Linked DNA regions of Xenopus tropicalis. The protein of the gene in region 1 interacts with the protein of each later gene in a biochemical or structural test. Links are inferred from orthologs where the notes say so. Each region holds a gene or a part of one and is shown on either strand. Other genes may lie near its edges. The genes, in order: clint1 and ap2b1.

Region 1 (3,824 bases):
AGACATCATTATTTTTGGCTGTCACTGTACCACTTCATCTAAAGCCTATACCTCTACATGCATAAATCTGGCATTGCCTCTGTCAGGAATGTCCTGCTGGGTGCCTGCATTCCTATGCGGCCTTTAATCCCACTGTGTTAAATGGAAATACACAGACATCTTTTCTTTGCGCTGGTACTGAGTATTTGCATCACAGCCTTCTAAAACAGTGATCCCCAACCAGTGGCTCAGGAGCAACAAGTTGCTCACCAACCCCTTGGCTGTTACTCCCAGTGGCCTCAAAGCAGATGCTTACTTTTGAATTCCTGGCTTGGAGGTATGTTTTGTTTGCTCAGAAACCAGGTGTGCTGTCAACAGAGCTTCCTCTAGGCTGCCAGTCCACACAGGCTACCAAATAGCGAATCACAGCCCTTATGTGGCACCCCCGGGAACTTTTTTTTATGCTTGTGTTGCTCCCCAGTTTGAATGTGTCTCACAGGTAAAAAAGGTTGGAAAACCCTGTTCTAAAACAAGCCAGCTTTTGTCCAACCCCTCCCAAAATAAATGGTAGTTGCCAAAGAGTAGGAAGGAAACTTGCCGTGCCCCTATTTATGAAGAAGCCATAGAAATTTGTACTTTAATGGATGATGCAGCCAGTTAGATTATACTTGGCAGGCCTCTCTGGGCCCTACATCTCTCCTTGCAGTGTGGTCCTTGTTAGCTTCTGCTATCTCGCTCTGCTGCTTCTGACCTCCTCGCTGCCTGTGCAGTATGGACACGGGTTACTGCATCTGCACCTTATTGTGCTGCTTCCTGCTTTGTTGATATTTTTGGATTTACGTGTGTGTCTTGATGTTTGCTTGAATTTGGGCAACCTGTAATTATGGACTTGTGCCTTAATGGCCTCTGTGATTCAGTTATTCTATTCATTATCTCTTTTCTGCCCATAGGCTCTGCAGTACTCTGCAGGCTATTTATATACATTAATAATCTCAGCTTTCATTTTTTTCCTAGTGCTTTTCTTCCATCCCTTTCTGTCTTCCACCGTCCCCTACCTTGTCCTTTCTTTCTTCCACCCCATTCCTGCTCCAACTTCTGCTTCTTTTATTTCTTTATAACTTTCTTGCTTCCTTCTCTTACTTTCTTCCATTTATTTTTATTTTTCCTCTTCTTATTCCTTCCCTTCTTACTTTCCTTCATCACCTTTCTTTCCGCCATCGCATTCCTTCCTTCTTTCTTCTCTTTCTGTTCTTCTCCTTCCTTTCCTTCATCTTTTTTGACCTTGCATTCTTTTATCCCTCCATTCCTTCATCACTTCCTTATTTCCTTCCTTCCCTCCATTCCTCACTTCCCTGCCCTTCCCTGTTCTTATCTGGTGATATCTTTAGTCCTCCACTGAGGCAGTATGATTTCTAGCACCTGACTATTTTACACTCTTACAAGTCTTTCCCTTTGTAGAAATGAAATTGTGTCTGTGCTTGATGTCTTCTTTGTGTCCATGCTGCAGATGATCACTATGACTCTGAGCCCAAATCTAAGTGGGACGAGGACTGGGACAAAAGTAAGACAGGTTTTCCATTCAGCGACAAGCTGGGCGAAATAGGTGACAAAATTGGAAGCACCATAGATGACACTATTAACAAGTTCAGAAGGAAAGACAGGGAAGATTCCCCAGAGAGAGGAAGGTAAGTGACCGGATCTTATGCAAGGCTACATGTGCAAGGGCCAGATTGTATTAAACAGTGATGTCCTACACTGAAGTGTGTGAAGCCTTTGAGGTGGCTTTGGGCGCAAAATAATTCTTTGGAAGACCACATGTGATCCTCTCCAAGGCGACCTCTAGTTATGAATTATGAGTGCTAAAGAGGATTTGGCTTCATGTCTAAGAGAGGTGTTAAGAATTCTCCTATGACTTCTTATATCTTAGTGACAGCGAAGAAGAAAGAAAACAGAACCGAGCAAAAAAATCTGGAGAGTTTAAAGATGAGGAGGAAACAGTCACCACCAAACACATCCACATCACTCAGGCTACAGAGACCACCACTACTCGCCACAAACGTTCAGCCAACCCCTCCAAGACTATTGACTTGGGTGCTGCTGCTCACTATACCGGAGACCAAGAAAGTCCTGAGCTTACCTCCTCAAACCAGAATCAAGCGTCCACCATCAAGGTGACTTGCTTAAATTGCAAGACCTCAGTGCAGGCTTATATAGCACACACCCTTCAATGCATTATGGTGGCTTTTGCAAAGCGATATATATTTATGGGAGGGGCCTTTTCATACCTGTGTAAATAAGGAGTTTTTACTAATTGCTTTTTTAGAAGTCTGTTTGGTAGGTCTTAAAAACCCTGAAGCTCCACATGTCATTCTGTTAGCATCTTCTCTATTCTCTCTCAGCCCTGTCCCCTTTGATAAAGTTTTATTGTATTGGGGACACAAAAGAGGAAATTTTTACCTATCTCATTTCTCTTTTTGTAGCCTACCAGCAAATCTTCAAACGATCTTGTCGATCTTTTGTTCAACTCAGGACAGAAATCAGGTAATGTTGTTACAAGGGGATGTTTCGGGGTTTTTTGTTTTTTTTAACAAAGGGCACAACATTCTCTCTGGGTTAAGTGCAGTACAGGAAGAATATAAGGTCATTCTGCGTACTTGGATATGGGCCCCTTGAATGTAGATGTATGTTTGGTGTGTTTATGATGCTCCACTGCTAATGCTAATTATTTACCAAGGTTCCACAGGTTCTGATCCATTCGGTGAGTTTGCAGATTTTACCTCTCCAGCTGCTGTATCATCTACGGTTCCATCATCACAAGGTAATTTTACTTTGATAACCGTGAAGCTGGAGTGGGACATGTTTATTCAATACAAATCCTGCACCTTCTTCAGTCCATTGTATGCACGTGTCAATGAGTGTCCCCCTTTTCCAGCAAATGACAGCACACCTCCAAATTATTTGCATATGGTGGAGCAAAACATAAGTGTTTCCAGTAGCATGTTTAATATTGCTGGTTTTGTGCTGTGATAGAATTGAGCAGAGAAATGCCAGGAGACACTTCTGCATCAGTTACTTAAAGGGGTGGTTCACCTTTACGTTAACGTTTTGTGTGTTATAGAATGCCCTGTTCCTTGCAACTTTCCATTATTTATTTATTTTTTTAATCATTTTTTAAATTTGCCTTCCTCTTCTGTCTCTATCCAACTTTTAAGTGGGGGGTCATAGCAGCCAAAAACTATTTCTCTGTAAGGCTACAGTTTTATTTTTAGTGTTACTTTTTATTCCATATCATTCAATGCAGGTCCTTTCCTATTCATATTCTTTTCTCTTGCTCACACCACTACCTCGTTGCTGGGGTAAATAAGACCCTGGCAACTAGATAGCTGCTGAAATGCCAAACTGGAAAAAACAGCTTACACAAGCTAAATAACTGCAGAACCATACAGAATAAAAAACTAACTGCAAATAGCCTAAGTCAATGTCACCATCATACTAAAAGGTAATTTAAAGATGAAACTACCTCTTTAACATTCTTTCTGCCAAGACAGAAAGGGGGTACTCTTATTACTCATTCATATTAGAAGTATAAAAACTCAAAGTCATGAATTCTAATAAATTATTAATTTAAAATGCAAATGTGCTCAGAAGTGACAAGCTAAGTACTATGTAAGTGTAGGACTGCTCATGTTTACATTGCTTATCCCATTATCCTCAGGTCCAGCATCGGGCAGTAATGGAGAATTTGGAGACTGGGGTGCTTTTAGCCAACCAACACCGGTTCCTACAACAGCGCCATCACTTGATGTTTTTGGAGTTGCCACCCCTCATAGCACAGACTTGTTTGC
Region 2 (3,824 bases), on another chromosome or scaffold:
CTTAAAATATTCTTCAACCCTTAAATATAACCATGACATTTGAAAGTATACATTATAGTCCTCAGGAAGCTAGCACTGAGCTTTGTGAATGGATTTTTTTCATAAATAATAATAAAAAACAGCACTTCTAGGAATACTTAAACACAATCTGCTTTGTTCTGAATATGTCACTGTCTAGCCTCTGACAATAGACTTATTCTATGTTCTGTTACTGACAACAGATTAAAGTGACCCAGTTGTAGAAAATTCTTGATAGTGTCTCAAAAGCCCCAAATTCAAAGTAAAGAAAAACACTAAAATGGTTTTGTGAAACACAGTGGGACTCATTTATTAACACTGGACAAATGTGCACCTGGACAGTAACCCATAGCAAAACCAATGTTTCCATCTAGTGGCAAGTTAAACAATGAAAGCAAACATTTGATTGGTTGGCATGGATTTTTGCCCAGCTTGGTAAATGAGTCCTAGTGTGATTTTTAGAATAAAAAGTACTAATAAACAAATCCACACACAGGCACACAGAAAGGGTGCCCATTATAGCCATTGCTATTTTCCCCTGCAGTAGAACCTTAGTAGAACTAACAGACATGTGTCTGACAGAGCAAATTTTGCTGCAGAGACGGCAAAGTATCTATTTTTGTGCACGCTGTGTGTGTGTGCCTGACAGGCTGATTCTGTACAAGCAGACGAATCGCCCAAAGTTCAGCGAGTAAAAGATGTTCTAGCAAACTTCCTTTGGAAGAAACTTCTAATTAGGTATTGTGTCTATATCTCCAATTAATTTACAACTGTGTACAAAGTTGATTATCGCAAGACTGTTGCCAAACTAAAAAAGGATGGGTCAAAATAATCTATTTCATGGTTTGGGAGAATACATTAGATTATATTAGATTCAACTTTATTGTCATTACAGGGAGAGGTTGATATCACTCCAACTTGCAGCTCAGCAGCAAAGTGTGACTGAAGTCAGAGCACAGGTCACATATCTGGGACCCTGGAAAATGAAGAATATGGCTAGCACCATGTGAAATTTTAAATATAAAAAAAATCAGTTTCTGAAAAACGAATTTAAATGCAGGATTCTGCTGGAGAAGTTGGATAATACAAGAGACTAGAAAGCCTACTGGAAGCAGTATGAAGCAGATATTTTTTTAAAAAAAGGGCTAACAACTATATTCCTATTTTCCAATGTTAACTTATCAATACCTGTGTAGCCAGGCTGAGAACTTGTTGAACCAGCTCTTGGGTTTCTGATGGCTTCTTCAGAAAGAGTTTGACAATAGCCGTAAGTAGAGTAAGTTGAACCTAAAAGCCAAAGAAGGAAAACATATAAATGAGAATAAACATGAGTACAGTTTTTGAACATCTATATTTTAAATACAGGTATGGGATCCCTAACCTGGAAATGTGTTATCCAGAAAGCTCCAAATTACGGGAAGGCCACCGCCAATAGACTCCATTTTAATCAAATAATTACAATTTTTAAAAATGATTTCCTTTTTCTCTGTAATAATAAAACAATTCCTTGTTCTAAACTAAGATGTGATTAATCCTCGATAGAAGCAAAACAATCCTACTGGGTTTATTTAACCCTTACATCTTTTAAAAGATGCTAACAGTACTAGAAGCCATTTATCAATACTGGGCAAATTTGCACGTTTGAGTTACCCATACCAACCAATCAGTGATTAACCAATGTTGACAAATGACCCCCAGTGTGTTGACTTTTTAAGAAGAAAATTCCTGTGCACCAAAATGCTGAGGAGCGATTTTAGTTTAAACTTCAGCACCTAAAACCAATACTGATCCTTATGACAAACATGAAATTAATTTACCCCAATGACATGCAGTAAATAGTGCATACTTCATAACAACCCTATAGAGGTATTCAGGCCCTACTGTAAGTACAGTTTAGCACCCAATCCAAATGTTTTTTTTTTTTTTTTTTTTACACCAAAGTTATATGAACCATATGTTATCCTTCATAGGAAAGGAATCATTGCATTAATACAGTACAGTTCAAAACTGTTAGAGATCTCTTATTAAATTGCCTCTGCATAGCTTATTACCACTTAATAAATCACATCTTCATTTCCATGACTGCTTGAACAATCATGTCAATTGCGTTCTAATGATGAAGCAGAAAGGGCTGACTAATAAATCTCTGTTATGATCTGCTTCACTAACTTACAGTTAAATTACTCCCACGACAAGCCATAATCCTTTTCTTGCACACAATCTAATCTGAAACAATTGTATTATTGTGCATTGCATTTGGAAGATGTACAGGCATTTAATAAAACCTATTCTGAAAGTACCTCCAGCACTGATCATTAACCATCCTCTTGTTTAAAAGCTTATGGCACATATGGGATTTTCTCTGCATGGCATTTTGACGATTCAGTGCCCCTTTACCCCTTATGTGTGTGAATAGCAAGGATTCTGACTGTTACTGCACACAGAACAGACCTTGGGCACAATATGCACACATGAGCATTTTCTAGCTGAAAACTTCTGTATGTACATTGGCAGTGCACACACATACTGGGCAGAGGGCCATAAGGACTTTTTCTCCACTGGTGTAAAGAACACTGACTCCCTCCACATCTGTGCACACTGACAGGACTAGAAACTGAATATGACCAAAGAGCATATTTTACATGTGCCATAGGCCTAAAAATGATAACATTTTAATGGGAACTATATGACAGCTTTGGTAATGGTGGTTTTCAGCCAAAAAGCACTTTAGGGGCCATTTAAGGGCTGAAAACGCCACTACAACAGTGTCATGTTTGCCATAGTACTTTTCCTCATGTTTCTTTTAAAAGTAAGTTTGTTGTTAAATCCTACTGGGCTGAGTAGCAACAGAAACAAAGATCGTTAGGGGTCATTTATCAACACTGGGCAAATTTGCCCATTGGCAGTAACCCATGGCAACCAATCAAAATGTTGGGTTCATTGTTTTACCTGCAGCTGGCTAAAAAAAAAGCCAATCGCTGACTGGTTGCTAAAGGTTACTGCCCCCAGCCAAATCTGCCCAGTGTTAATAAATATGCCCCAGTAACCCAACCGTATCTCACCTGTTACCGATATAATAAACTTAGAGGGGGAAAAAAGCAAACAACTGAACTTTTAATTTTTTATTTGGCAAATCTAAAGATCATGGATTTAGTGATAAAAATGCAATAGTAATAATTAGATGCCTGAGTTAAAATTGTCTTGAACCATAGCATCTACAGTATTACCCTCCATAGAAGCAGTCTCACCTTAGAAAAATCATATTTGGCCACTAGGGCTTTAAATGGCCAGCCCCCAAAAATTACCTGTGTACTCTCATCGTGAAATCCCTCCAAGAAGCTCTCCAGTAGTTCATCAGCATTGTCAATACGTTCTGCATATTCACCAACAATCCAGATCATGGCACCACGGGCATCTGGCTCATCCAAGGAATCCAGATTCTCACACAGTGTGGCAATTATACTTTCATACCTGGGAAAAACATAGATAAGGTAGCATTTCAAGGTCCTTAATTTTAAGGAAATTTTTAAGGAAGGTTCTTAATTTCAGTGGAAGTCATTTGTAAAAAGGGAAACACTTTAAGCAAACCCCAGCACCCATATTATGGAATGTTGTAACTGCACACTTTTAGGTACATAAGTAATGTACCTGGCAGTGCTTGAAATGCTAATATCAGCAAAACAGTTTTATAAAATCAATTAGAAAATACTGATGGGCAAACCTTTCACTTAATGTCAATTAAAATCCTTGTGGGTCATCTGAAGATAATGTCAGCAACATTTACTGACACTGTTTATTGAGCATGT

What was found.
Region 2: the proteins of clint1 (region 1) and ap2b1 form a complex in vitro, tested with the Homo sapiens proteins (2 studies listed by BioGRID and IntAct, with this or other methods). The link is inferred for Xenopus tropicalis from reciprocal best matches to the Homo sapiens genes CLINT1 and AP2B1.

What each region holds. Positions count from the first base shown.
Region 1 is NC_030679.2:13,974,427-13,978,250, forward strand, and holds part of clint1 (clathrin interactor 1), read left to right. Parts: intron 1-1,486; coding exon 1,487-1,664; intron 1,665-1,906; coding exon 1,907-2,150; intron 2,151-2,459; coding exon 2,460-2,520; intron 2,521-2,713; coding exon 2,714-2,797; intron 2,798-3,694; coding exon 3,695-3,824. UniProt on the Homo sapiens protein: Binds to membranes enriched in phosphatidylinositol 4,5-bisphosphate (PtdIns(4,5)P2). May have a role in transport via clathrin-coated vesicles from the trans-Golgi network to endosomes. Stimulates clathrin assembly.
Region 2 is NC_030678.2:93,543,664-93,547,487, reverse strand, and holds part of ap2b1 (AP-2 complex subunit beta), read right to left. Parts: intron 3,490-3,824; coding exon 3,324-3,489; intron 1,306-3,323; coding exon 1,207-1,305; intron 1-1,206. UniProt on the Homo sapiens protein: Component of the adaptor protein complex 2 (AP-2). Adaptor protein complexes function in protein transport via transport vesicles in different membrane traffic pathways.